4 linked regions of the Canis lupus familiaris genome follow. The main gene of each other region encodes a partner of the protein of the gene in region 3 in a complex. Links are inferred from orthologs where the notes say so. Each region holds a gene or a part of one and is shown on either strand. Other genes may lie near its edges. The genes, in order: PARD3, SNTG1, PTEN and MAST2.

Region 1 (7,430 bases), on a different chromosome or scaffold from region 3:
ATATAGAATTACACGTGCATTTTGCACATGCTCGGTATGCTTGTTCCACGTATACGCAAACACGTGTATTTTCTAGTAAAAACTATTGGAGGAAGGGGAGCAGTCTGGAAGATGGAGGCCATATTTGGGCAAATCTCGAGCAATGATGTGGACAGAGGAGCTTGTTCTCTTACCTCTGGCCTTGTTTTGAGACTCACGTGGGCACATGATCACAAAAGCACGCTGCTGGCAAAGTGGCCGGCTCTGTTTGCTTATTTGCTGCCCTTCCTCAATATGGGTTTGCAGCTAAATCAACTGCCTCTACTCAAAGAAACAGAAAATTCACCAGTGCCTGATTTGATATAGTTGACTTCTTTGGCCGGGGTCCCACTTTTCCTTCCTATTAGGGGGACAGCCCCATCAACCATGGATGCTTTGACTTCTGAGCTGTGTTTGGTCTACCAGGAAGAAGACCTGGGTGGTGATGTTTAACATATGATACCTTATACAACATTACTTTATAATCTATATTTATAAATATTTGTAAGTCTTTTCTATAGTCTTAGCGGACTAAGGGTGGTGATAATGTCACTGTGGGGCCATCTTTTCTGAGGGACAGTAGACTCACTCCACTTCCATTCTCATGTGAATGTGGGCCTTAGTTGGTGCCACCTACCCCCTTGCACCAACTGCGACTCCTCCCAGTGGGTACACATGCTGACCACATTCAGCCTGGCCCCTGCTATGGACATGATCTTCCTGTGATCCCAGTGAGTCCTTGGTAAGTACTCTGGAGCCAGAGGGCAGACATTTAGACAAGACTGCCAGTCTGGCACATTCCCACTTCTGTGCTGACTCATATCTAGTGCTCCTACTCCTTTCAGTGTGGCTCAAACTGTCAGTTTTAATCTTCAAACCCCTTTGTGATTTGGGTCCCCAAACATTCTATATTACCTCTCCTGCTCTACTTCTCACCATCAGCTGAGACAAACAACCTGCGAGCATTTGCCATGGGCCTCCTGGTCAGTGAGAAAATTAACAAATCCGTCCATCTTCTCTTTTCTACTTTCTCATGCCATGCATGCATATAAGAACCCAGGACATGTTATTTTCTTGGTTTACTATATATACATCTCTCGCTACTAAAACCAAGGTGACAGAATTGGATTTAGTGACGGGCTAAAGGCTGCTATGACAACCAGCGTATGCAGCACTCCACATCGAAGGCATTTTCAATAGGCCTGTGCAAAGCTTACCCTTTGGGTGGGGATATTCGTGCATGAGACATACCTGGGGATTTGATGCCCTTTATGCCTTCAAAGCACCAAATACATATTAATGAATCTAAAAGAACAGCAGGGTTTTATTTTGTAATTTGGGAAATAAGGACTGATTGGTATTAGAAGTGGAAAAGAATCTGGACCTTACTTTGGGCTTGCAGTATGCAAGGCTGGAACTCCCTCAAAACATTGGCTCACTGAAGTGACCCAGAGGGAGCAAAGGACAATAATAGGAATATGATGTGGCTTTCTGTATCATTTTTCTTTTATTTAGCTCTCGAGTATTGGCTCCTTCAATTCTGAATTCTCTGGGCTTCTTTCAGCAGCCTGGGTCTTCAGGGTCTTTCTTTCCTATCCTGTCTCTCCTCAGGTGTTCAGGTAAGCACTCAATCACCCACTTCCATGTCTGCACACAGACAGATAGAAGGAAACTTTCTTTCGACTTCTTCTAAATATGAAAAAAAAAAATCACATCTGCTAACATACTTAAAAAAAGACACCCAGCTAGGAGTTTCCACAGGAACACAGTACAGACACAAGAAAGAACAGGAAGAAATATGCCTTTTATTAGAAGTCTCATATGTACAGGGAAGGCTCTTTCTCACAGCTCACGGAAGGCCGTGAGAAAGAGCCACTGTCGTCCAAATTGGTAACACCATTTAATATCGCCACACATTATGAACACGGAGAACCTTTACACAGAGATGCAAAAGAGACATAGGTACGTGTGGACACTTCATGTATTTTCTAAAAACAAGTGGGACACAAAAATACAATGTGCCAGTAAAAAAAAAAAAAAAATAGGCATATCAGTACATGTCTTTTTTTGTTTGTTTGTTTTCTTTTTTCTTTTTTTTTTCTTTTTTTTTTTTTGTTAATACATGGTATGCTGAGCTTTCATCTCAAGCTTTTTTTCACATCAGGATTTGCAGGCACTTTAGCAACCCAGCCATGGTTTACAATACACGGCGTTCAGACTGACAGCTGAAAACATGGGAGGAATCGAGGTCCTTGTGACCCACACATACCTCACATTATTGACATGAGAGCAATCTTTTGGGACCACTGTCGGGGGCACCAGAATGTTCCCTGTGCGATCTAACAGCTTTTCCCTTGTCTTCTTTGTCTCACGGCAGAATTATTTAGTAGCATGATGGCATCACCAGGCACAGAGACAGCATGTGGATGCACTAGACTAATGTCATTTCCAACTGACTTTAAAAACCGCAGAGAGCAGAGGAGTTTTGAGAATCCCAAAACGACTGTCTGATTTATCTTTGTCCCACTCTATGCCCTTCCTGCCAACCTGTCAAATGAAAGCTAATTAAAATAATTACTGGGATGTTGTGGGCCAGAAGCTCATCCTGGGAGAATTCTTCCTTAGCTACCACCTCCCACATCACGATAGACACGGGGCCGGTGGGCAGGCTCCCTCCTTCCCCAACCAGGAGGCGCTCCCTCGCCCACATGCCCCACACACAGCTGCGCTGACTCAACACACATGTCAGGAACACGACTGAACAAGTGTATTTATAAACGCAGACCAGACTGATCACTTTATTGGTAATGTCAAGTTATAAGGCAGTTGCAAACGGACCTCCATGATAACCAGACAGTGTCGGATATGGCTCGGCTTCTTCAACAGAATAAAGGAACCTTCCTGTGGCAAGGAGCTGAGAGAGAAGGGAGAGAACCTTACTGATGACAAAGTACTATAAATGACTGTGCTGTGAAGCACCAGAGAGCCCCAATTTCTGGTGTGTGTCACCCCCTGGGATCCACCAGACACTGGGATGTAACCTCACCTCAAACTGAAAGGGGAAGAAGAGGGGAAGATACCATCCTCCACTTGGCCACAGGTTGGCGGGGCCGTAACGCGAAGCCGGGGCGCCGCAGGGCGGGGGGGCCACCTTCCCGGCACTCCAGAGGACGCAGAGCGCACAAGGCCTTGAACAGGTGATTGTCGGATGGCGGGAAATCCTTCCATGAAATAGACACTCGAGACGGAGCGGCAAAGACATTAAGGCCTTCCATTTCTTTGCCCGTACTGCTTAAAGGCACTGATACCGACAACAGAAATACTCCATAGTACCATCAAGGTTTTAAAAAAACTCCCAAAATACAAGTCTTCATACGAAAATGTCCTTTATTGCATGACATGAAGCCTCCGCTCTTCTCCTGCTCAGGAATAGAAGGGTTTCCCTTTCTCAGGAGTCTGGATCCTGTTCAGCCTAGCGACCTGAGAAGGGGAGGGGGGCACGTCCTGCCGGAATGGCCCCTTGGGCGGGGTGTAAGTGGGGTCCTGGCCTTTCTTGTATGAGTCATAGTTGTGCAGTCCCTCTGGAAGGAGAGGAGGCTGCTTCTTCATCTGCTGTTCCTTCCGCCTCTGCTCCTGGCGCAGGAGCTCCTGCGTCTCCAGCATCACCCTGGCATTGAAGCCGTGCCCGCCCAGGTAGCCGTTCCGGGATCCTTGGTAGCTGGAGTACCTGGGGTTCTCCTTGGCACTCTGGAAGCCTTCGCCGGGGGGGTAGTTCTGCTCCCAGGAATCCTGGGACACAGAGCTGGCATTTTTCCTGCTTTGCCTAGAAGGCAAACCCCAAAGGTTAGTATATGAGGATTGGGAGAAGGAGAGAGAGACAAAGGAAGAAATGAGGGAGCAGGGTGGGGGTGGCCAAGGGGAAGTGCATTTGGATTTCTCTAGTCCCGGTGTTATGCGTCCTGCGTTGGCCACAGAAACGGGGCTGGAAGAAGGAGACAGGACTGTGAGCAGCAAACAATGGCAGAAGGAGGAGAGAGAACTGAGGGATTCCAGGCTGCCCAAAAAGGGAGTCCTCAGGCTGTGTGTGGGTAGACACAGCCTACCAGAACCTTCGGGTGACAGTACCTCCTGCGATTTCGATGCATTGGCAAGATGCTGTCCAGGGTATTAGCAAGCTGCAGCTCCAACCCCAGCCCTAACTGCTCGTTTTGGAACCTTACAATGCAATCCTAAACAAGCACAGCAAATATTTTACACAGCTGCCACCATAATGCCTAAGACAGTAGCTAATCTGAAGTGTACATAATGGATTACAGGGTGAGCTCAGCTATGAAGGATCTAAGTCTGGACTCCCATATGATTAAAAATGCAACAGGCAATCCCTTCAAGCCCTGGCTGCCGAGACATATATGTCAGGAACCGACACTCTTCAGAATACATGCCCATCAGGACCGTAGAGCCTGAAAGGCAGCAGAGCCGGCACTATCTTCCTACACACCACAGTCTTGCGGAGGGCTGGGGCGACCTACTTAACCTACTTTCTGTCACCCCAGGATAGGGAAATAAATCAGAGCCATATAGAAATTTCAAAGTCTTATCATTTCTGCAATAAAGTTGCACATCATTTTCAGGAAACATTATTGTTCTGAAACATCTTTAATTTACTATCCAGTCCCTAGATGCTTTTATGAATTTACAATAAGATTGGCTATGATAAAGTAAAACAATTTTGTGCCAGAAAGGAAGACATGTCCTAATATTTTGCCTTAAAAATGAAAGAGAGGAAGGGAGAATTGAGTAATAAAACAAAATATATTGCTCCATTTATCAATAAGAAAATCATTTGGCGGCACTATGTACTGCTCAGCCTCTTACATCCACACACACACGACATGACGGAATGTTCAGGAAGACTCCTGTGAAGGGAAAAGAAGGTCTATGCAGCCACAGAGCTTCCACGGGGGTGGAGCAATTTGCATATTTGAACATTCAGAAGTGCCGTCAATATGGTTTGGATGAAATCTGCCTATTTTCCACACGGCCTAAAATGCAGCCAGGGATATTTTCAATAAGGAAAATGAACTAACGTCCAGCATCATCTCCGGATATGACTGTGATTAATTGAGTGGTCCCCAGTATCTCTATCCAGTTCTCTTTTCATGGGAATCAGACCATTTGTACACTGAGCCCAGGCAAGAATCCTTGGATTTGATGGAATAGTTTATTTGCCTAAAGCACTGATTATCTTCACTTAAAAAGTCATAAATTAATCTGCCCAGGGACACGAATGATGGAGCATGCCAGCATGAAACCAGGGATTTGACATTAATCATGAAACTTTAATTAAAACAACGAACTTGTTAGTGATGTTCCAGCAACAAAAGTGGAATTCCTTCATGGGTTAGTTATCAATTTAAAGATAACCAGAAATAGGCCACAGAAGTGTCACCTCTTTTTCATCTTTAGCCTACTGAGATCCACTAACCCCTACTCTCCCAAGCCCCGACTCTATAAAGCCCGAGGCTCCACTCCATGGTACTCATGCACCATAAGCTGAATTCTGAATCATCTCAGGAAGACAGGGTCTTTTTTATTTAAACACATTGAGAAGTGACTAAAGTTCTGTTAGGGATAGAGATTAGGACGATGTGAGAGAAGGAATTTCTTATCGTTAAAATTTCCTTCAAATTAAGCAGGCCAGAGGGAAGAAAGTGGACTTGCCTGACACATGAAGACATGTGGGGAAAGTATACCCACATCGGTATGTGCACACATACACACATATACATGTGCACACATACACATGTACACGCATGCACACACGCTTCTTTGGTAAGGAAACCAGTGATATCAATAAGCTCCTGATGAAAGAGAGGCTGAGAAATGAGCAGATCATAGATAAACTTGAGAAAACAGCAGACAACGAGTGTTGTACACTAGGCTTAGGATCAGGTGGACAGAGATTCCAGTCCTGTCTGCCACTCACCAGCTGAGGAGCCCTGGGATGGTTATGCTGTTTGGGCCCAAACTGTCTCATCTGTGAAAGAGGCAAGACACCTAACCTCACAGGGGATGGGAAGAAATGAACGAAACAGGACATGTTAACTGCGTAGAAAAGCATGGCACACAGTGCATGGTTGACTAAGGGGTGTTGGGAGAGCAGTCTGGAGACAGAGCCACTTTGCCCTCAAAGCTGAGCCTCTGGGTTTTGGGGGCATCTTTGTGACCAAGGGGGAAAAATAAGCAAAAATATTTGCTTTCTGTCCTTTGTCAAAAGGATTGGGCCGAGATCAAGATGCAGGGAAGGGCATGAAAGAATAACTGAGGAAGCATCACTAAGTGAAGGCAGGCCCACTTCCTCAGAGATCAGAAATAATCTTTTGACTGTCCCGGGACTGCTGAGTCGAAACCCACAAATAATAATAGTGGCAACAAAATGTCAGTTTCCTTTCACTGAATTCCTTTATAACCAACACACAGGTTTGTTTGGTCCTGGAATGAGCCCACCAAAGTTTGCTGAATCCACTCAAAGAAATACCCAGGTTTGGTCACAACTCTCACTTAATCATTATAACCACTTCCAACAGGGCCTGAAGGCCATCATGACGTAGAGGGCTTACGTCAAAGACCCAATGCCTTGGGAAAGCCATTTAGTCACTGAGGTGAGGAAGACACAGAAGGATGAAGAAAGACATGAAGACCAAAGCTGACACACTGACAAGCAGCTTAGAGACATAATAAATGGGCCTGGTTGGGAGAGCATGTCCAGGTGTGGAAGACAGAGGGGAAGTGAAGTGAGTGGAGCAGGGCAGTCAGCCACCAAGAGACATGAAGCCATGGGAGAAGAAAAGATGGGGACGCCTGGGTGGCTCAACGGTTTAGCGCCTGTCTTTGGCCCAGGGTGCAGTCCTGGAGTCCCAAGATCGAGTCCCACATCGGGCTCCCTGCATGGAGCCTGCTTCTCCCTCTGCCTGTGTCTCTGCCTCTCTCTCTCTCTCTCTCTATGTCTATCATGAATAAATAAATAAAAATCTTAAAAAAAAAAAAAAGGAAAGATGAAGAGGAAATGGAAAGACAGCAGAAAAAGAAAAATATATATTTAATAAAAAATCTTAAATAAGTCTCCCTGTCCATGACTATGACTGAACATACTTCTAACTCGGTTTTAGAGAAGCCTTTTGAACACTAAGACCTAATCTAGAAATGTTAAAAGGATTAAAAAAAGAAAGTTAAAAAGAAAAAAAAAAGGATGACTAATTTAGGAATAAAAAATTTAAAAAAGAAATCTAGCATGATTGAGAGTTAAGAGGGGTCCACTCGAGTCTCTCCTTCCAAAGGAGTGTTACTACCTGACTAGCGTTTCTTATGGACGCGTCAGAATGGAACTTGAATTCTGTCTATAGGTTTGCTGG
Region 2 (6,922 bases), on a different chromosome or scaffold from region 3:
ATTATAATTTTACTTATATGAATATTTTGGAAAGACTACTAAAATAAAGATACTGAAATTTAACAATAACAAATATGAAATAAAAACTCAGGACTTATATGCCACATAATGCATTTATATGTCCACAGGCCAATTTTATTTCCATTTAATTGAAAACTGTAATGGGATATTTAAATGAAAAAAAAAAAAACCTTATAATTCAAAATAAGGAGGGAGAGAGGGAGGAAGAGAAAGAGATAAACTGATTTCAAGCAAATTTTCAACACTAATCCTTATATCATATTTGTTTTATAACACTGTATATAAAAGTACATTAAATGAATGACATTCTGACTATAATGATGGCTAAATGCATCAAGGTGCCTTCACCAAAAGCTATGGCTGTCAGCCCATTTTGCATAGAAAAGTTATAACCATGCTAAATTATTCCTTTGGAGTCAAGTTTTTCAAAAAACTTACTTAATGAGCCTTTTAAGTTCAGTTTGGGTGTAATTTTATTGATTTAATGCAGGCTATCTCCTGTGCTTGTATCTACCCATCACTATTTTATTAAAACTACAGTCGATAGTAAGAAATGTTCAAGGCTTATTCCTTCTAATTTAGACATATTTGTTTGCTTTTCTCAATTACTATAATTTAAAAGAATATATCAGATGAAAACACCTTCAGTCCAGAACATTAAAATTTATCTCATTAAGTTCAGAATTACAAATGAAACTAATTCATCAATAATCATTAAATTGAAACAGATATGATATAAATGGAGACTGAGTTTATTTCTATGATTTATCATCTTTTAAGAAACATATATGATGACTATACTCAATATTTATTATACTTAATGTTTTAACACTATATTAGATTTGTTTAATTTCTATGTTTATTTTATAATAAAAATTGGATTATAGTTAGAAAAAGCAAGAAATTATACTTTTTAGGGATAACTCGAAACATTTGGAAGATTTGTGTAGAATTTTATATTATGAAATAACATTTGAAGATACATCACACATAAAATACATTTTACTTTATTTATTTATTTATTTTTAACTATTTTATTATTTATTCATGAAAGACAGAGAGGAGAAGCAGGGCCTCTGCAGAGCAGGGAGTCTGATGTGGGACCTAATCCCAGGACCCTGGGATCATGACCTGAGCCAAAGGCAGATTCTTTACTAAGGAGCCACCCAGGCATCTCTATACATTTTAATATATCCTTTTGAATTATAGCTAAATGCTTACACTTGAATTAAATACATATGAATTTCCACCAATATTAATAATTAAAGAAAATCAATTTTGTAAATGATGTGCTTTTTCATTAGAAGTCCTATTTTAAAAGAGCTATATTAATTCAAATTGAATTATTGTAAGGTAAAAATAAATAAATAAGTTGTCTGCCCTTTACCAGTGTTATTTACTTACTCTGGGAAAATCTTTCGGAAAAAGGAAAAATAAAGGTGCTAAAAATATTATAAATGAATTAGGCCCAATACTGGTACTTGGAATGCTAAGTATATGTTGTAAGATTTTATTCATACAAATTGTCATTTCCTGTTTTAATATTCACTACATTCTCCAAATTTTAAGGTTTTAATTTAAATAACAATGTAGAATCTTTGCAAATACCTGCTTTTAATGGATTACCTTTTAAATATGTAGATATTATATCAATATTAAGTACATTAGAGATCCAAAAATATATAAATAGATAAATAAATAGATTAGAGGGACACCTAGGTGGCTCAGCAGTTGAGCATCTGCTTTTGGCTCAGGGTGTGATCCTGGAGTCCTGGGATCAAGTCCCACATCAGGCTCCCTGCATGGAGCCTGCTTCTCCCTCTGCCTGTGTCTCTGCCTTCTTTCTGTGTCTCTCATGAATAAATAAATAAAATCTTTATTAAAAAATAAAGAAATAGATTAGAAGCTAGAAAATGTTAGGGTGCAATCCCATTAATGAAAACCAATTTCAAAATCAAAAGAAATTATTTAATTCATTAATTTGTATTAGTAATTCATTAATTTTCTTTCTGCTTATTTCATAATATATGTCCCCTCTAATTTATTTCTTAACAACTTTAATGCTAGTGGGAATACTGAGGACATAGAAGAAAAATACATAAACATCTTCATGTAAATATATTAACATCCTTGAATTTTGAAAATAATACCACCAAGGTGTTCAGTCACTGCATATTGATCTCTAATGCAGTAAACGAAGGGAAACCATAAGACTTATAAAACAATCAAAAGCTAACAAAGCATTAAGTATTTTACTTTTCAGTTGCTATATGCATCTTAAATAAGTATTGTGAGATAGCCCAAAGAAATGCATTGCTCAGGACATCAGCTTTGAGAATATGAAGCACAGACTCAAAAAAACAAAACAAAACAAAAACCATACACACACAATGTTAACATACATCACAACAATATAATATTGTCTTATTTCTAAACCTCAGGAGACTTCAAATGAAATCTTAAATTGAGACCAACAGATAGATATTTCCATGTAATTGTTTATAAGTAAAGTGTGATATTCTAAAGAAATGATAATTAGGAAAACAAAAATATTGGTATAAATAACAAAAATTTCAACTATTCAACTAACATATTTTAGTACTTAAAGTGGTCTTAGATGTTGGCACTTAGAATAAAATAATATTGAAGATATTTTTCATGTTCCCATTTTTGATATTAAACTATTGAATTGAGGTTCTTTAGAGCTAAGTTATTGAAACAATATTCCTCAGTTACATTAACATTTTAAGATATATGCAGATCAGCAGAGCTATTAGAAAGTGTCAACTGAGCAATGAAACAAGTGAAATTCTCCTATTTTTTTTCCCCTGAAAATCAGGGGAAATACCATGTCATACTGGTATAAACTGATATGTTCAATATAGAAAGCTATAGTCAGAAATAAAGGGAATTAATATATGTTACAAATCAGTTCAGCATATTGAAAATATGTACATCAAATCTCCTATTACAGCCAAGCATTCCAGAGGAGTCAATGCTATATTATCATCATCATATGTTTGTTTTTGAATTAAGTGCCCATATGTCTATTTAGGTCTTGGCTTTGTGAATCCATTTGCATGTGGCAAGTCCATTACAACTGCTCAGTTTTGCCATCAATATCTGTCAGATGTCAGCCATAGAACCAATGTTTGGGAGCCTCATCTATTCCGTGGTCCCATTAATTGTAGAGGCTGAAGGTTCTATGAAGTTTGATCTACATATAACTTGACACTTAAGAAATAAAGCATAATAAATATGCAGTACAAAATGCATTTCAGCTGGTAAATGAACCTATAATTAGCAACCTATAATTTAGTGTGGGGAATGACAAGCACATATCACTCCAATAAGACCGTGTAAGTAGACCTAAGAAAACAGACAAAAGAAAGTGATATGATGCTCACGAGTGGGATGAGTTTGAACAGGATAGTTGTGGGAATAGTGGTAATAATGAGCATGACAGTTTGGAAATCAGGAAAACCTTTGTGATGATCTGACCTCTGGAAAAACTCTCAAATTTCATGTATGGTTTTGAAATGTAGAGTTGAAGGGAATTATTTCTAGAAAGAAAGAGCATTGCAAGAGAATGAAGCCATTCATGTTACAAGTGAGGTGGTCATGACTGGACAACAGGAAATGACTTTGTAAATTAATCAAAATCACACCATTTTCTATTAGAGATTTAAACTCTAGGGAGCAATCACGTGTTTTTAGGAGTCACAAATCCTAAAATTTCATAGACTCTCACCTGTATCCGTTCCACTTCCAGAAAGGTTGCTGTTTGAAAGGCTCTTTCCCACTGGGCGAGGTCAGAGTCTAACTCCACAGAGAAATAGAGATCCTCCCCAGACTCGGACTGCACGGTGAAGCAGTGTTTCCGCCGGTCCAGTAGGTCACTGTCCTGATGAAAACCTGGAGTTACACAGGCTGGCATACATCAATCCATATTGCTAACATGGCCATACCTTGAATCAATGTTGACTAAGTGCATGGTGGAGACGCCATAGTCATAAAGATTTTATGTTACTGCTAAATCTTCGTTAAAAATGGTCATAGCAGCCTAAACTCCATGCCTCAAAGTCCATAACTAATGTATTTCTTTTCTGTATCAACACTGAAGCATGCTCATGAAACAGAAGTGAGGATTTCTGGTTTCTATACTTACTAGCAATGTAGCTACCAATGCATTTAACACAAGAGATTCAGTTCTTTACTGTATTAAGGAACAACACACACAATTTCCCTTTTCCTTTACAGAACTGTCAAGATGATGAAATTAAATAATACTTATTAATATGTTTGAAAATTTTAAAAAGGTTAATAAGCATGGTATTTTTATTGAGTTGATTTCTTCAACCCTGAAAGTATCATGAAAATATTCATCTAGACAAGGAATGAAAAAAATGAGTTTAGGTTGTCTAAAAGACATTTATTGCTTTTAAAAAATACATATTTACCTTATTTATGTAACTCTATTTTATTGAGTCAAAAAGACTTTCACATGGCAATTTCTTGGTCTTACTAGAAGTTTTCAAGTGTTCACACATCTATGTGTATTTCAACCTCAGAGATGTTAACAGAAAGTGCAGCTAAAAATTAATGGAATAGAGTAATCCCAGGCAATATGTCAGATATGGCCTTTGAATTACATGAGGAGTGTACTGAAAATAGTCAAAGTATAATTACTAGTGTTTTCCACCATTTCTTATATGGAGCTACATAAAGGTAGCATCATTAAATACCCAAAATATTAGAAGGAATTCTCTGCTTTGGCAAGTATTTTCAAAGCAATTAACTAGTTTATTAATAAATCCATTTTTTTGGCATTTGGATGCTTAAAATACTAGAGGAGAATGGATGAATGGCAGTAGGATTTAGTTTTGATAACTGCTGTCAGGAGATATTCAGAAGCTTGAAGGAAGTCACATTCTCTGTGTTTATGATTTTCTTATACCATCTTAAGGGAAAAAATGAAAACATACTATCTTCAAAAATATAGTCCAATGATAAGCAATTGAAAAGTACTTTTTAATCATTTAAAGCTTATAATGTCTAGAGAAGTGGCAAAAAAAGATATTAAATAAATTACTACACTAGTGAATATGTCGGGACAGATCATTGTAAGTGCCATTATAGGGAGTAAGAAAGCATTTTACACCAAATTGTATTGGCAAGTCAGAGAAATGTCCTCTATGATGTAAATTTTAAACAGTGGCTGAAAGATGAGTGGAAAGATTAAAGATAGAATGGACAGGAAGAAGACTTTTGCTGACAGAGGGGCTGGTATTGGCAGAGGCCTGAAGCAAAAGTGTGAGGTACATTCCAGAGATCCAGAGAACAGATGAGAGAGAGACTGAGAGACAACACTGGGAAAGAAGATGGCTAGACAGGTCATGAATCTTAGACTCTAACATAAGTGTAATGACAAGTCACTTTATAAAAAAAAATCAGCAAATCCTCTGTTGTAAATATTTCAACTTCCATATTACTTATTTAAATTGATAACATTGGCACAAAACTTGTAACTAAACATTAAAGAATTTCTGGAAACTCCACCAATTTTATGGTTTATTCAATTGGCCTTAATGTTCCTTGTAATATGAAATTGTAACAAAATAATCAATGTCAGGTTTAATAACCAGAAACCTGTTGATATTTTTCCTTCTCATAAATTGCATGTTGCTATGGAATCTTAAAATAATCATTTAAGATTTTGTTTTTCTTGGCAGCTTAACTCCATTTTCTTTTATTTTTTTTTTATTTATGATAGTCACACACAGAGAGAGGCAGAGACACAGGCAGAGGGAGAAGCAGGCTCCATGCACCGGGAGCCCGACGTGGGATTCGATCCCGGGTCTCCAGGATCACGCCCTGGGCCAAAGGCAGGCGCTAAACCGCTGCACCACCCAGGGATCCCCAACTCCTTTCTCTTTTAAAACTTGAATTAGCATCTTCTATTATATTACCCAAGCACCGAAGCTCTCAAAGATAGAATTCTCTATTCAACTCTGCAAAATATAAGTTTGACATCTATGAACACTTGTGGTCATTGGCTATTGCTATTTGTAGGACACTCCTCATGCACTGACTCAAGCTACAACTGTTATGGGCATCCGGATACTCAGGCCTCAAGGTGTACTGATGGAGACAAATATGTAAAAATAATTTTAAAAGCTTCATGACAGTTCTATATAGCTAAAACTCTAAGGAAAAAGAATAAGGAGCAATAAATCATTCTTGAGAGTGTAAAAGAGAAAGTTTTTTTTTTTTTTAAAGATTTTGTTTATTCATGAGAGACAGAGAGAGGCAGAGACACAGGCAGAGGGAGAAGCAGGCTCCATGCAGGGAGCCTGACATGGGCCTTGATCCCGTGTCTTCAGGATCAGGCCCTGGGCTGAAGGCAGTGCTAAACCGCTGAGCCACCAGGGCTGCCCTAAAAGAGAAAGTTTTATTCTAGGAAGGGACTGTCTTATCACCAAGGACTTAGAGACACCTGCAAGAGCAATCAGCTGCAAGCCTGAATGGGCTCAGGTCCTCCTGCTAAGAAATGCACATGACTACCTGTGCTATAACACCCTGGAGGGTGAGAGGGCAAGAAAGAGGTGGAATACACTGCTTTAGAGAAGGAAGAGCAAGTGAGGCAGAAGATGGAAAAAGAAGCATGTTGAAATCCTTTTCTAGAAATTTAGTTTAAAGCGATTATAGCCCAAGCATGTGAAAGAGCTACTTTAAAAGTAATCATCAAAATATGTGGAGGCTGAGAAAAATCAAGGCCATTCCACCTCAAGTTTAGCATTAGCACAAGTACAGCCATCTTAGGCCCCTGTGAATAAGAGCTGATCTTTACAGGAAAAACTGCAGAATGTCCTCGGCAGGGAATCCCATATCAGAAAGACAA
Region 3 (7,381 bases):
CCCAACAGCCTTTATTCCAGCGCAAATTACTTGTAAAGAACCAGACTGCTAATACCTTTTCTGTAACCAGTGAAAAAAATTTCAAAAACTTAGAGGCTAGGTGAAGAGTCAAATCCAATATGCTAACTTTACCTTTCCTGACAAAGGAAACTATTGTCCATTAGTGGGTGCAGGTATCCAGTGCTTAGAAAAGCAATCATATTGACAGACCACCCAGCAAAGAATGCATGTGGCAGTAAGTGGCCTTTATAAAACAATTAAGGATATCAGTTTGCTCAGCAAATCCTTACGAACTTAAGGTTATGCAGTCTAACCTCAACATTACTGACAGCTCTGAGAGCAAATGCATTCATTTCAAAGCTACCAGACAGAAAGCCACTGTAAAACTGAATATTTACTGAAATCATTACTGACCCCTATCTCAGACGTTGATACAAATGTCTTAAGTCTCTCCATCCTTAGAACAAATTCTAACACATTTTCTCAAAGAATTCAGGTCACCAAAAGAATTCTCCAATGCTGACCTCACTTAAAATCAAAGTTTAGCTCACAAAAACAGAGAGGGAGAAAAAAGGTAAGAGTGAGGTCTCTGCAAGATAGAAACAGAACTTAAGAACTCGTGGTCTCTAAAGGGGAAAAAAAAAATGATATCAAAGAAATGTTTTACATGATAATTAATAACATAGCTTCTGGAAGCTAAATCCTTCCTTGTACCATGACCAAGCCCAAACATTCCAAGGAAGTGAGAAACTATCATATGCATGCACACTTCTCAATCTCTCTTTACAAACTCCATTTCACATACATTACTGTAGTATAAAAACATTTCCTACACATCTGTCTTACTAAAAAGGCTGAGGTCAAAACTTTACAGTACAATGTTTACTGAGAGTGAATTAATGTTGAAACTTTGTGCACTGATTTTCCCATAATAAATATTCCTTCATTAAAAGTCACTGAAGTGATTAAGTGGCTTAAGATATATTAAAAAGTACTAAGCTATCACCACACAAATCAACAGCAAACGGGGCAACTCTCAAAATGAGAACATGTGAAAATAAGAATCAGAGATTTCACTTCTAAAAACCAAGGAAACCTCGAACATTAAGAAGTTTGAGTATTTTTTTTGAGTGGTTATTAGGAAAAAGCAGATACACCGTCCCACATAAAAACTAAAATATCAATAGCCGCCTTTCTCGTGTTAAAGTAAAATTCTAAAAGGTAAGGAACACCAATGCATCTTTTTCTATGCTCTCTAAAAATAAATGTAAAACTACGGTGGTTATACCTCACCATATTTTATGACGCTTATTCATCTATTATTCATTTAGTGTATCATAAGCAATGTAAAATCTGTACTGATGGTTGTACTCCTGTGCAAACTTTTACAATGGACAGCAATAAAATTCCTTTTTCCTTATACAAAGTCATATAAACTGTGAATTATTCTCCTTTTAGATGCGCTCTATTCTTGAACAATCTTTATGAAAATGAAGTTTGTAAACTGTTACACAGCGATCAGGATGCCCAGTCATGTTGCTCGGAAAAGAAATACAACTTAGCAGATACAAAACAGTGTAAAATAAAAACTGTGAATAGAATCTTAAAAAAACAAAACAACTACAACAAAAAAAAAAAGAAAAAAAAAACCACCTCACAATACGGGCACTTCAGTAATCACTGATCTTAAAAGATAATACAGTTAACTTCCATAGTCACTGTTACCCTCTACAAGTTAAAAATACTCCCTATGGTTAATATTTGAAAAGACGCAAACTTATCAAGATGTAAAAATACATACAAACAGAGCCTAAAGTTCCCATGAAATCTAAAGACACTAAAATTTTTTTTAGTCTCATGGTCACCACCATTTTCCAGACTAACAGATGTTAACAAATTATTTTTAGGACAACTCAATTTTGCAAATAATCGTCTTCAGTTTTCCTCTGAGAAATCACTACGTTCTTCATCTTTCTTATCAGATAGAAATGCTCCAATCACTACTCTCATAAGGGAACGTAACTTCTCACAGGCTAGCTGCTGAAGCAGACACTACAACCTGCCAAAGTCCTCAATGGCCACCTTAATTTCCCCCCACAATACACAGAGAACCCTAAAGCGAAACCAAGCAAACCAAAGTGCACTGGTGTAATCAAAATTATTGGAAGTCCAACTAACAAAAAAAAAAAAAAAAAAAAAAAAGAGCCCTTCACTGACTTTTTCCTAAATGATTTTTTTTTCATATATTTGGCTCAATAAAACCACAACTCTAGAAATCAAGTGTTACTAGTCATTTGACGCAGCGTCTGACACTGCTTTCTATGCACACCCTAACTAAAAGTACCCTTCTAGTAACAGTCTCTAGGTCACGTAAATTTCAGGTATGGAGGCACACACCTGTGAAGTCAAAGGCGAGCTGGCCAACCAGCTCAGGACTCCTGTGTAAGAACCCCGCAGAACGATCTGAATCTTAAAGCCCTGACTATTTTAGAGCAAATGGGTAACGTAAAAATAAACCTACTCTGAATGATAAAAGCAATCTACCAAACAGCATCCACAGACATTGGTTTTTGCACGGGGATTTTTTCCTAAAAAGTCAAAGAAACGTGTAATCAATTTGTTCCTATACACCCAGACGGCTGTCAGTTCACACTAACGCTAGATTGCTTTTGAAATAAATTACAAATCAGAAGTTGTCCAGCAACTGGTCACCTTCTAGGCAAGCGGGTCAAGTTCAGCCTGACCAGTGTTGCAATCAATGCAGACTCCAAAACTTCTAAATAGTCTTCTAATACATAATTTTTTAATCAACAGAAAACTTACGTTTTGTGTGCTAGAAAGCTCCTTCTTCGGTGACTTTTACCTTCAGCTCAAAACAGACACTTGGGCAGAATTAGCTGTGCACGTTTATGTGCTGCTATGTAATCCAAAGGGAATTATAAAAAAAAAAAAAAAAAAAAAAAAACCTCTTCAGATGTAAAGAATTTTCTTCAAAAACCAAATCCTCCCCACAGTGTTTAGCAGGACATATGGATCCTTCAGCGCCACTCCACCTTTAGGCAAAATGTTTACTGGTGTTCGCTAAAAATGATCTTTATTAAGAATCCTCCAATAACAACCGACGCAATCACGTTTGAACTAAATACCGTCCACTGTTATAATTCACATCACCAAACTTCTGGCCTTCACAGAGGCCTTGTTAATAAGATGCTGTGGGCATCTCAGACCCACAAGTCAATTCTGTTTTTCATGCCTTAGACACTGGCCTAAGCAGGAACGCTGAACGCCTGTGATACTTTCCATTCTGGGGGAAAAAAAAAAAAAAAAAAAGGAGGGCTCTCTGCCCCAACTCTTGATCAAAACCAGTTCATTATACCTGAAACTGCCAAGATCAATGCCTTTCAATAACCGCTATCTTTTCAGGTACAAAGGCCTAACTTTTAGGCAACCGAAACGATACTCCTGTTAAAAATTCTCGGGTTTCTGTGTCATTCAACAACCTGAGTCAGTAAATTCAAGACACTGTGTGGAAAACCAGCTAACATACCTAGACCATGCGAAGCTGGAGTGATCCGCTCTTGCCTGCGTTGCTGGTGATTAGCTGGTAAATTACACCTGACCTTACACCCGAGCCCGAGTACAATTAACGGACATCACGCGGCGTCAGGAGTCCTGAAAGCTGGATGAGGTGAGCAGCAGTTCTGGACTCGCAGTGGCACTTGCATTTCAAGGAAGAACTGAAGCTTCATGTCTGCAATCACGATTTGCTGCACACAATACCCCAGAACCCACACAACACGCTCCTCCGGCATCAAGAAGCAGTCAATCCCCATTCTGCTACGTGAGACAAGACCACTGAACCTAAAATGCGGCTGAGCTGCAAAATCCCATGCCCTGTCCTGGATCACCCCATCAAGGGAGGGGGGAGGGGGGGAGGGGGAGGGGGAGGCAAATTTCAGAAAGACCGAGCAGCAAGAGCGGCTCAGGACGTGCGTTACCTGTGACACTATTGATCGCGAACTACACAACTTGGGAGAGGCAGTTCCCGGTTGTAATTCAACTCGGCGTGAGCACACGCGAACCTACTTTCTGTGCCCTCCAACGAACGCCCCGAGTGCTGAGAGCGATTCTGCTTCCAAAGTTATGCAAATCAGCTCACAACTCCCATTACGAATTAAAAAAAAAAAAAAAGTCTATCAATGCGAGCAACCCAGGAAACTAAATCACTGCGAGATTCTGATGCAATCTGCATACGTGCAACGCTAATTTTCATCTTCATCTAATCTGTGCCGTCGATCTGGGGGCCTAAAGCCAAGGTTTGACCGAAACGTGCTCGACCCCGGAGCCCGGGCGCCGCGTCCCCTCCGCGCGTCGGGCAGCCCGGGTTCCCGGCTCCGGGGTCCGCCGAGGGGCACCGAGTCCCGCGGGCGCGGACAATGGCCCTCCGGAGGGGCCGGGCGCGCGCAGGGCCGGGACCCGCCGCCGCCCGACAGCCGCGGCCGGGCGGAGGGGCGGAGGGGCGGAGGGGCCGGGGGCGCCGGGGCCGGGGCGCCGGGGCCGGGGCCGGGAACGAGGTCGGAGGCCGGGCCGGAGCCCCGAGGCCGAGGTCGGAGGCCGGGCCGGGGAAGCCGAGGCCGGGGTCCGGGGTGCGGGTGCGGGTGCGGGTGCGGGTGCGGGCGCGGGGTCCCGAGTCCCGGGTGCGGGTGCGGGTGCGGGGTCCCGGTGCGGGTGCGGGGGCCCGCGGCCGCGCGGAAAGGGATACAGGTCAAGTCCAAGTCGAACCCATCCTCCTGGTAGCGCCTTTTGTTTCTGCTGACGATCTCCTTGATGATGGCTGTCATGTCTGGGAGCCGGTGGCTGGAGAGGAAGGAGGAGAGAGACGGCAGGAGCGGCGGGCGGCGCGGCCTCCTCCGCAGGCTGCAGGCGGCCCCGGGCCTGGCGGCGGGCGGCCCTCGCGCGGCCGGGGCGGGCGTCGGCGGCGGGGCCTGCGCGCGCTCAGGCGGGCTGGCGGCCGCGGGCCGGGGCGGCGCCGGGGGGCCGGGCGGCCGGGCGGCGGCGGGGGGCAGGCTCTCGGGCGGCCCGGGGCCCTGCGCGCGCCGCCGCCGCCGCCGCCGTGGTGCGGGCGGGAGCGGGGGGGGCAGCGGGGCGCCGGCGGCCGCGGCCCCCTCCCCGGAGCCGCCGCCGCCCGGCCGGGCCCGCGGCTTCCACGGTCCCCCGCGCGGGGCGCCGAGCGACGGGAGCACGGCTAGACGCGGGCGCGGGGGGCGCGGGCGGGGGCGCGGGCGGGCGCGGGCGCGGGCGGGCGCGGGGGCGCGCGGGCGGGCGCGAGGGCGGGGGCGCGGGCGGGCGCGGGCGCGGGCGCGGGCGGGGGGGCGGGCGCGGGCGCGAGCGCGAGGCCGAGGCCGAGGGCGGGCCGCCCGCCGCTGCCGCTGCCGCTGCCGCTGCCGCCGCCGCCGGCCGGCCGGCTCCCCGAGGGCGCTGCCCCCGCGGCTGCTCACGGGCGCTGAGAGGGGCTCTGGGCCGCGGCCGCCGCCGTCTCTCATCTCCCTCCCTGCGCGCGGCCTCGCCTCTCCGCGGCGCAACTCTCAAACTTCCATCATGGCTGCAGCTTCCGAGACGAGGCGCCGAGCAGCGCGCACGCCCGCCCCGCCGCGTATCCTGCCGCGGCGCACAAAGAGTCCCGCCACGCCGCCGCCGCCGCCGCCGCCGCCGCCGCCGCCGCCGCCGCGAGCCCGGCGCCCCGGAGCCCGGGGGGAGGCGGGGGCCGGGGGGAGGCGGGGGGAGGCGGGGGCCGGGGGGGGCCGGGGCCGGGCGGGGGGAGGGGCGGGGGGCGACCGCCGCGCATGCCCAGTGCGAGCGGCCCCCGGAGCTGCACTTGCCGCGGCCGCTCCTGCAGCGGCGGACGGACGGACGGGCGGGCGGGGGCGTCGGGGACCCGAGTCGGACGGAGGTCGCCGCGCACCGGGGGCGCAGGGGGCGAGGGCGGGGCCAGCGGACCCGGGGCGCCCCTCCCCCGCCCGCAGCTCCCTGTGTCCGCCCCGTGTGCCCCCGCGTGTCCGCTCCCCGCGTGTCCGAGCACGAGGAACACCCCCACTATGGCCCTCGCGTGGCCACTGCCCCCGTGCCTGCTCCCCGCGTGTCGGTGTGACCACGAGCACCCCCCGCGCGTGTTCCCCCGTCCCTCCCGCATTGGTGTGAGCACGAGGACACCCACATTGTGCCCCCCGCGTGTCCGTCCCCCGCGTGTCGGCGTGAGCACGAGGAACACCGCCATTGTGTCCCCGCGTGTCGGTGTCCCCCCGCGTGTCCCCCCGTGCCTGTCCCTCGCGTGTCCGCCCCCCGCGTGTCCGCCCCCCGCGTGTCGGCGTGAGCCCGAGGAACTCCCCCCATTGTGTCTCCGCGCGTGTCCCCGCCCCCGGCTCGCCCCGCCGCCCCACCCCCGCCGCCGCGGGCCCAGGACCCCGGGGACGCGACCACCGCGCCGCCCCGGCCTCGCCCCCGAGAGCGGGCGTCCGTCCCTCGGGGCGCCTGCTGCCCGGTCCGCGCGGGGCTCGGGGCTCGGGGCTCCGGGCTCCGGGCTCCGGGCTCCGAGGCCGCCTGGCCCCGCCCCCCGCGGGCCGCCGCGAAAACCCGGCCGGCTGGATGGCCGCGGGCCGGCGTGGGCGTCCGCGCGTCGGGCTGCGCCCCGGGCCCGAGCCAGGAGTCCGGGCCGGGAGGGAGCGCCGGCCCGGCGGGTGGGCGGGGCCGAGGGGCTTCAAGGGGCGGCGGAGGGCTCCGCGGGCCGCGGCCGGGACTACTTCCAGGGGCGGTCACGTGTGCCCTAGTTGGGGAACTTTCCAAATTCCCAGTCCCCGAGGAGGGTCGGGGGCGGCCGGCGAGCGGCGGCGGTGGGGCGGCGAGTGGCGGGCGGCGGGCGGGCGCGGCGCCGGGGGAGCTGGTTACACAAGCACCCGCGTCCACGCACGTGCCCCCCGCGGCCGGACAGCCGGGGCCGGTGGCCGCAGAGCCGGGGCCGGCCTCGCCCTGCGGCGGCTGCGCTGCGCTGCGCTGCGCTTCCCTGCGGCGGCTGCGCCGGGCCCGGGGACTGTCGGGTGCGCCCCGCTGCGGGCCCCGCTGCTCGGAGGGCTCGGCCCGGCCGTGCGCCGCCACCGACCTGCCGCCTGAGCCCCGGCCCCCTCCACGCCGGCCGAGGGGCGCCGCGCCCGTTGCCCTGCCCGGGGAGCACCACCAGGCGGGCCGGGGCCGCCCAGAGGAGCGGGGCTGCAGCGGGGCCGGAGCGGGGCCGGAGCGGCCTGCGGGTGAAGCGCAGGGAAGTGACGCGCCGCCCGGGGAGGTGCGCCAGGACGCGGAGGCCGCCCGGAGCGGCTGTCCCGGCGCGCGG
Region 4 (6,922 bases), on a different chromosome or scaffold from region 3:
CCAAGCTCAAGGAATTAACAAGTGGTCATCTGAACTCCGGTCTGTCTAGTGTCAAAGCCATTTTCCACAACAGAGGCTTATCCCCATGCACTAGTCCTGACGGGGAATCTGGAAGATATCCCCCACTCCTGCTCCCTTCTCTCCTACCTCACCCCTACCTGTTGGTTTCCTTTCTACTTCCTAACAATATCCCCTCTCTTTCGCATCCTGCAGGCACGGTTGGTTTGGGCTTGGTCTACTGCAACAGCCTCACCATTTTCCTGCTGGCAGAGTGCTGTTTCTAAACTTAAACCACAATCTGAGTGTGCCATTCTATCACATACCTTTGGCTAACAGGCCCTCTGAAGACTTGCTAGGACCCTTTAAAATAAAACCCACTTTAAAAAATAAATAAATAAAAATAAAACTTACTTTACAAAATGACTCTTGATAACCCAATCCCTGCCTCTCTCTCTAGCCTTACCTCTTACTACTCTGACCAATTAACAATCTCAGTCTCCGCATACTGTACTGTAGTTCCTGGATCACATTCTCGGATACTTGTGCACCTTTTGCAAATCCTGCTTCCTGGCTTTAGAAAGCTCCTCTCATCTTTTCCCATCTGACCAATGCCCTCTGAGAAGTAGCCTATATGCAGATATTTCTGTTTCCCATACTAAAGTTCTATAGGTCAGGGATTATTTTACAACCCAGATTATACGGACGCCTGGGTGGTTCAGTGGTTGAGCATCTGCCTCTGGCTCAGGGTGTGATCCCAGGATCTGGGATCGAGTTCCACATCGGGTTCCCTGAGGGGAGCCTGCTTCTCCCTCTGCCTGTGTCTCCGCCTTCTCTCTGTGTCTCTCATGAATAAATAAATCTTTTTTTTTAAAAAGACAAACAACCCAGATTATAGCACTTGGCCCAGAGAGGTCAGTAAATGTCAGAACACTTGCTCGGCCATCTCCTAGATGCCGATTCTTCTGTTCCTCCTTTGTTCCCTTAGATGAGCTCCTTAGTGACTCTTACATGACTCTTACAGGTCTTATGATGCCACTGCCAGAATGGCTAGCAATGGTCTTTGCATTTGGGATGGTCAGGGGCTCGAGTAGTAAGCCTAGATAGAGACCCACATGAGCACTGTTTTCTGGCAGCCATTCTGGGATAAATCCAAACATGCTATGTCTGCCCCCATTTATCTATAGAGACCCAAGAGGGAAACCTTGGACAAGGGACCCAGAGAGGGGGCGTACTTGTCAGGCTTGAGGTCACGGTGCACGATGCCGTAGTTGTGTAAGTATTCCAGGGCTAACACGGTTTCCGCAAAGTACAGACGCACCATGTCCACGGGCAGGGCCCCAATGTTCTTCAATAGAGTGGCACAGTCTCCTCCTGTAACAAGCCCAGAACAGTATGAAGGAAGGATCGAGTTCCCTACTCAGGATTGTCTCAGGCTTATAGTCTCCGAGGCCCTAGAAGAGAGAGCCTCATGGAACACCCCAGTGCTAGAGACTGGGAATCTAGCTCTTATGCTGCTGGTCTGGGTGCAGACAGAGTGTGGAGAGGAGTCGGCAGGAGGTGAATCTGCCAATGGCTGTCAAGGCCACTGTTCAGGCCAGAGGGTAGGAATCTGTCCTCCAGGGGACTTGCAAGGGTAGAGCAAAGTTATTTTAGGGTGGAAGTCCTGTATACAATGAACACATCTGACTGAGACTTCAGCATTTTGTCCACTTATGTCCTTCCTGTTGACTAGCCTTTGGTTTTTGAACAAGGTAACCTTGTGAACTCCCAGCACGTACTCTCTGAATTAAAAGGAGAGTGTTGTTCAGTTTCAACTTCAAGACTTAAGCAAAGTGTCTTTGGAAGCTGTACGCAGCTGCCATCTCTCCCCAGATGCCCCACTATGCTCTTCTACTCCATCCCCAGAGCTTCTGTGTGGCCTTAAGGGGCGTCCCCTTCACAAGCCATCGGTCAGGGAAATGGCATTTCTTTTTTCTGAGGGTCCATTTGCAGTCCTCCCAGCATGCAACCCTGGGCTTGTGTGGCCTGCTATCTCCTTTGTTCCTGCCTGGCCCCAGCAGTAGAGACCATCCAGGCTTTGGGATGCAGGATTCTACAGCTGTTGGGCTGATACATCTTGTCCCAGAAAGCCTGTCTTTGCACCTGACATGGGCAGCCTCATGGCAGCTACTATTCCAGAAGCCTCTCCCTGTGAGGGGCAGGGAGCCTTGTGCCCACTGTGGTCAAATGGTCTCTGAGATCCTAAGGCAGAAACCAATGCCAAAGAGAGATTGGGAAGCTGGGCCCTGAAACTTTACTCCTATACAAAGCTGTTGGTCACAGCTTAGGGCTAAGCCTCACATTGTGCCTTGGTCTCCCTGCCAGGCCACCTTTCCCACAGTACCTTCAACATACTCCATCACCATGCACAGGTGGCGCTTGGTCTCAAAGGAGCAGAACATGCTGACCACAAAGGGGTTCTCAGCAAAGGTCAATATGTCACGCTCCACAAAGGCCTGCTGGATCTGGTTCCGAAGGATCAAGTTCTGCTTGTTGACCTTCTTCATGGCAAAGCGCTGCCGGGTGGACTTATGCCGCACCAGGAATACAGCCCTGGGAAACACAGTCCATCCCATCTCCCATGGACCCTCAGCAACTGGGCTGTGCTCCCCACCACCCAGAGCTGGGGTGTCTAATCACACCCTATAAATGCGCAGACCAAAGGAACAGGCGTGTGCTTATCGATGAGAAGGATCTGGGCCCCTGCCCACAGAGCTCTTCAATTTCCCAACACACTAATCCTGAGGACACAGTTCAGTTCTCCCCCAGAGCTCAGGAAGAGGAGGAGTGCTACCAAGAGGAGTGGGGGCCTTGTCAAGAAAGGAACAATGCTCAGATGTCAGAGGACTGAACTCCTGTCTCTCTCCAGGAGGCTCTGAGGTCGGAGAGGGTCTATCCTGAGCATGTGCTGCCCAGAGGATCAGGTATCCTACACTTCTAGAAGGAAGAGCCCAAGGGCTGACCTAGCTCCAATCCTGGCCACACCCCAAGCCCTGCCTTTACCCATAGGCGCCATTGCTGATGAGTTTAATAGTTTCGAAGTCCTCCTCAGAGGGCGTCCTTTTAGATGTCACAGATGCCCCACGGCCCTGGAAGACAAGAGCAAAGGCAAGAGGCAAGCGTGCTTCTTAGAGCCCACGTGCTGGGGAAGCCAGAGCCCCAGCATCGGGTCAGCGCCTAGTCCTGCTGCAGCCCCCACCCATTCTTCCCAATGCAGGAGCTGAATGGCTTCTGAGATAGTAGGTGCTACCATCCATACCTCCCCTCCACCTTCACACATCCTCTCAAATAGGACTCGTGGTCCTTTGGTTCATAGGGCCCAGCCTCCAGGATTGGGGCAGAAGCTCAAGGTCTTTACCTCAACCGAATCATCTGTCTCTGGAGTGTCAGGACTGTCATAGCTGCTCAACTGGGCCATTTCTAGAAATAAAGCAAGGGCAGAAGAGAAAGGTGTGTGCAGCAATGTCAGGCATCTCAGCAGTCCACTCACATCACATGACAGGTGCATGCAAGGCAGGCATTAATATTTCCCGCATCAGTCTGGGGTGCAGGTACAGTCCTGTGGCTCTATCCTCAGAGGAGTCACAGCTTTTGGACTTGTTTCCCAAATTACATTGCCACTCCTATCTCTAGAAGTCCAGTGCCATTCACAAGGTCTGGCAAATTCTAAAAAGCTTCCCTCAAATTTAGGACAATTCCTGGAAAACAGGGCCCAAGGTTGGGCTACTGGTCCCCATCCTGCTTCACCGTTGAGGTTGGGAAGCAGGGAAGCAGGAGCAGGATGACTAGAGACCAGTGACTTAGAAGCCCACGCTCCACAGGGGCATAGTGTGAATGGAGATATCTGCTGAAGCCCTGGGTCAGGACCACACCAGAGTCACAGGAAGGCTGGTAAGGGGGCCCAAAAGGAGGTAAAAAGGCAGAGGAGGTGATCATTTTTGAAAATGTAATTGTAGTCCTTTGCTGTTGACCTCTTCTGACATTAGGCTCCAGCTGGGCCCATGGCAGTTCAGGTTGGGTCACACCAGGCGGATGTGAACGAATGTGAAGGAGGGGCTACACTGTGACAGAGAACACTGGGTTCTTTAGATGGCCCTGAGGCCTCTGATCGTGTCCATGTCCAGTCTAAGCCTCTTCTTCTAGTGGCCTTCCCGTGGTTAGAGCTTGTTGGCTACGGTGTGTCTGTAGCCACCAGGGAGCATGCTCACCCTCCAGTGGATCCCGTGTGAGGCCCAGCTGACTAACGATGTAGCGGGGAATGTCACATTTAATCCCTTGTCCCTCTTTGGCATGGCCCTCGGCTGCTTCCAACAGGTGGTAGAACTCTTCCGGGTCAAACTCCTGTGCCAGGAAAGGGAGACAGTGAGTGGTGAGGGCTACAAGTGAACGCCTCTTTGATTTTCACAGCACATACCCAGGAGGATGAACAAGACTTTTTCTTTATGATGGGACACTTGCCACCGAGCACCCAGAAACATCATGAATCGGGGATCTTAAGAATAGGGACAAAGTTGTCTTCCAGGTCAGCTCCAGATCAGACCTCCTAAGCATAGGCTGTCTTCCTGACAATAAGAACCAGACTTTTTGGTTTCAAGATGGCTCAACCTATTCATCTGATCCAGAGTCTCCTGCGAACCAGATGGTATTGTCACACATAAGCGCACACGTACACGCATTCCTGCCTTCAGATGTTTACGAAGCACCCCCCATGTGCTAGGGGCTGGAGAGCCATGTGGACAGCACAGCACTCTTTATCTATCCGGAGCACAGAAACATGAGGGTTCCAGTCACTGGGCACCTACTAAGTGCCACAGCCTGGGCTAACCCCTGCTAACACTTCTATGACCTCAGTGAGGAAATCAAGGCCCACAGAGAGGCACTGACTTGTTCTCTTGCACCCTGGACTCACCTCAGTGGCAACACTGTTTGCAGGACCATAATTATTATTTCTAGGTCTCCATGCCTCCTATACGAGGCACTACAAGACTAACTCCACTGCAGAGGGAGCACCTTAGGATCAGACACTCTGCTTTGTTCATGTCTGTGTCCCCCCCAGTGACTGGTATGAAGTAGGTGCTCAATAAGGTGCTCCCTCATGACAAAGTGAAGCACTCGACTTGTGCTGACCGACCTGGCCTGTGCTCCTGACCACCCAGACCTCCACTCTCCTGGGCCCTGCTCGGTGTGAGAGGGCCAGGCTGCTACCCCTCAGGACCAGCCATTTTCCTCACAGGAGCTTGTCTGGGCCCCCATGCTGGCATATCATAGTCAGGTAAGGACTTCAGCAGCAGAAATGACAGTGGTGCTACCAGTTTTGCTGTTAGCAGGAGACTTCCCCTATGTGCCCACCCCCTCCCGACCCTCCTAGGAGCCCACTCACCAAGCATTCCAGGAGTCGAGCTGGGCGGGCGATGACAATCATCAGCTTCTTCACCAGCTGCATCACAAAAGCTACTTCTGAACTCTCTGAGCGCTCATGAGCCTGTAGAGAAGACAAAGGTTGGTTAAGTAATCCCCTGGCACAGTGTGGTTGGGCTAATGCAGGACTGGGCTGGGCAGAGCTGGCTCTAGGGAGAAACAATTGGGTGGTACAGAGACTTTTGAAAAGGAGAAGGCCAGTGCGCTGTGAGAGGGAGCTTTAGGACTCTATGATACTAGGGAATGTCACAGACACATGTGGCTTTACCTGTTTCTCCAACTAGACCCCAGTTCAAGAGGCAACTCTCAATGGAGCGTTCACTGTTCACTTCCCACCCCAGGCAGAATGTCAGGAATAGAAAGACTTCAAAGCAGGAGTGAGGCGACCAGATAGGTATTTTAGAAAGATCACTCTGGCTGTAGTGTGGACAGTGCACTAAAGAGCATAAGCCTAAAGCAGGAAAATCCATTAACAGGCTACTGCAGTTAATGTGCATGAAAAAGGCATAAATCAAGGCAGGAGGAATGGAGAGGAACAGCTTGGGGCTATTTACAATGTAGATAGAGCAGACCTGAGGGTTGGAAGCAGCAAGAGAAGGGTACTGCAACTACGATTTTAGGGAGATTTCGGTGAACCCACAAATGAAATAAATACAAGAATGTAAGTAGTTCAGGTAAGGTAGGTGGAGAGGACTTGCTTGGGGCTATTTACAATGTAGATAGAGCAGACCTGAGGGTTGGAAGCAGCAAGAGAAGGGTACTGCAACTACGATTTTAGGGAGATTTCGGTGAACCCACAAATGAAATAAATACAAGAATGTAAGTAGTTCAGGTAAGGTAGGTGGAGAGGACTTGCAGAGTTTGAGGTACCTATACTAGATACTTTCTTGGGTATTCACTCAGCCCGGGAGACTTTATCTTTTTTATGGAAACTGCTCTGACGTCTAGGAGCTACATTTGTATTGTGTGGCTGTCCCTTCCATCCCACCTCCAACAGCTCACCCGTGTGGATGACTCTCCTAGGACTTTAAAAATGGATGGAAAGACTGTTACTATCTGTGTGACCGAACCATACAATCTCCTGGCGGGTGAAAAGGGCCGGTCACGTCTACCAAAGGGATTGAGCTAAAGCAGCACAGAACAGAAAGGCATGAGAGGAGAACGACCACTTCCCGAGCTTTCCACAGCTTCTGGTTTCTGGTTGCGGTTCCTTAGGGCCAGGCTGCAGTCCTGCCTTCAATTCTCTAAGACCCACCCTTTCATCATTATAATGAGCTTCCCCTTCCTGCTTATACTACTCCTGAGTGGGTTTTCTATTATTTGCAACCAAAGAATACTAACCAATCTGGGAAAAGCGGAGGAGTTTTTGTGAAGCAGCCCGCAACACGGATCTGGAGCTAAGAACAAGGAGGACAAGGCCAGGAGGGTGTCCTCAGTGTGTGGATGACAATGGAAGACACGGAGA

What was found.
Region 1: the proteins of PTEN (region 3) and PARD3 are in contact, whole or in part, in an NMR structure (PDB 2K20), measured with the Rattus norvegicus proteins. The link is inferred for Canis lupus familiaris from reciprocal best matches to the Homo sapiens genes PTEN and PARD3. Residues at the interface, in NP_113794.1 of Rattus norvegicus: Asp393, Glu394, Asp395, Ser398, Gln399, Ile400, Thr401, Lys402, Val403; in NP_112514.1 of Rattus norvegicus: Ala599, Gly600, Leu601, Gly602, Val603, Ser604, Val605, Lys606, Gly607, Asn608, Arg609, Ser610, Lys611, His614, Lys622, Ile625, Met659, Leu662, Arg663, Met666.
Region 2: the proteins of PTEN (region 3) and SNTG1 are in contact, whole or in part, in a crystal structure (PDB 7PC7), measured with the Homo sapiens proteins. The link is inferred for Canis lupus familiaris from reciprocal best matches to the Homo sapiens genes PTEN and SNTG1. Residues at the interface, in NP_000305.3 of Homo sapiens: Asp395, Gln396, His397, Thr398, Gln399, Ile400, Thr401, Lys402, Val403; in NP_001274742.1 of Homo sapiens: Gly67, Phe68, Gly69, Leu70, Ser71, Ile72, Lys73, Gly74, Glu77, His78, Ser85, Lys86, Ile87, Ser88, His118, Val122, Leu125, Arg126.
Region 4: the proteins of PTEN (region 3) and MAST2 are in contact, whole or in part, in an NMR structure (PDB 2KYL), measured with the Homo sapiens proteins. The link is inferred for Canis lupus familiaris from reciprocal best matches to the Homo sapiens genes PTEN and MAST2. Residues at the interface, in NP_000305.3 of Homo sapiens: Pro391, Phe392, Asp393, Glu394, Asp395, Gln396, His397, Thr398, Gln399, Ile400, Thr401, Lys402, Val403; in NP_055927.2 of Homo sapiens: Lys1112, Lys1113, Tyr1114, Gly1115, Phe1116, Thr1117, Leu1118, Arg1119, Ala1120, Ile1121, Arg1122, Val1123, Tyr1124, Met1136, Trp1138, Glu1141, His1170, Val1174, Ile1177, Leu1178, Leu1191.

What each region holds. Positions count from the first base shown.
Region 1 is NC_049223.1:3,008,727-3,016,156, reverse strand, and holds the end of PARD3 (partitioning defective 3 homolog), read right to left. Parts: intron 3,842-7,430; coding exon 3,442-3,841; 3' UTR 1,803-3,441; downstream 1-1,802. UniProt on the Homo sapiens protein: Adapter protein involved in asymmetrical cell division and cell polarization processes. Seems to play a central role in the formation of epithelial tight junctions. Targets the phosphatase PTEN to cell junctions.
Region 2 is NC_049250.1:3,048,156-3,055,077, reverse strand, and holds part of SNTG1 (gamma-1-syntrophin), read right to left. Parts: intron 3,926-6,922; coding exon 3,773-3,925; intron 1-3,772. UniProt on the Homo sapiens protein: Adapter protein that binds to and probably organizes the subcellular localization of a variety of proteins. May link various receptors to the actin cytoskeleton and the dystrophin glycoprotein complex.
Region 3 is NC_049247.1:38,115,829-38,123,209, reverse strand, and holds the start of PTEN (phosphatidylinositol 3,4,5-trisphosphate 3-phosphatase and dual-specificity protein phosphatase PTEN), read right to left. Parts: upstream 4,950-7,381; 5' UTR 4,842-4,949; coding exon 4,763-4,841; intron 1-4,762. UniProt on the Homo sapiens protein: Dual-specificity protein phosphatase, dephosphorylating tyrosine-, serine- and threonine-phosphorylated proteins.
Region 4 is NC_049236.1:14,460,623-14,467,544, forward strand, and holds part of MAST2 (microtubule-associated serine/threonine-protein kinase 2), read right to left. Parts: intron 5,522-6,922; coding exon 5,420-5,521; intron 4,381-5,419; coding exon 4,248-4,380; intron 3,460-4,247; coding exon 3,398-3,459; intron 3,129-3,397; coding exon 3,043-3,128; intron 2,593-3,042; coding exon 2,384-2,592; intron 1,372-2,383; coding exon 1,233-1,371; intron 1-1,232. UniProt on the Homo sapiens protein: Appears to link the dystrophin/utrophin network with microtubule filaments via the syntrophins. Phosphorylation of DMD or UTRN may modulate their affinities for associated proteins. Functions in a multi-protein complex in spermatid maturation.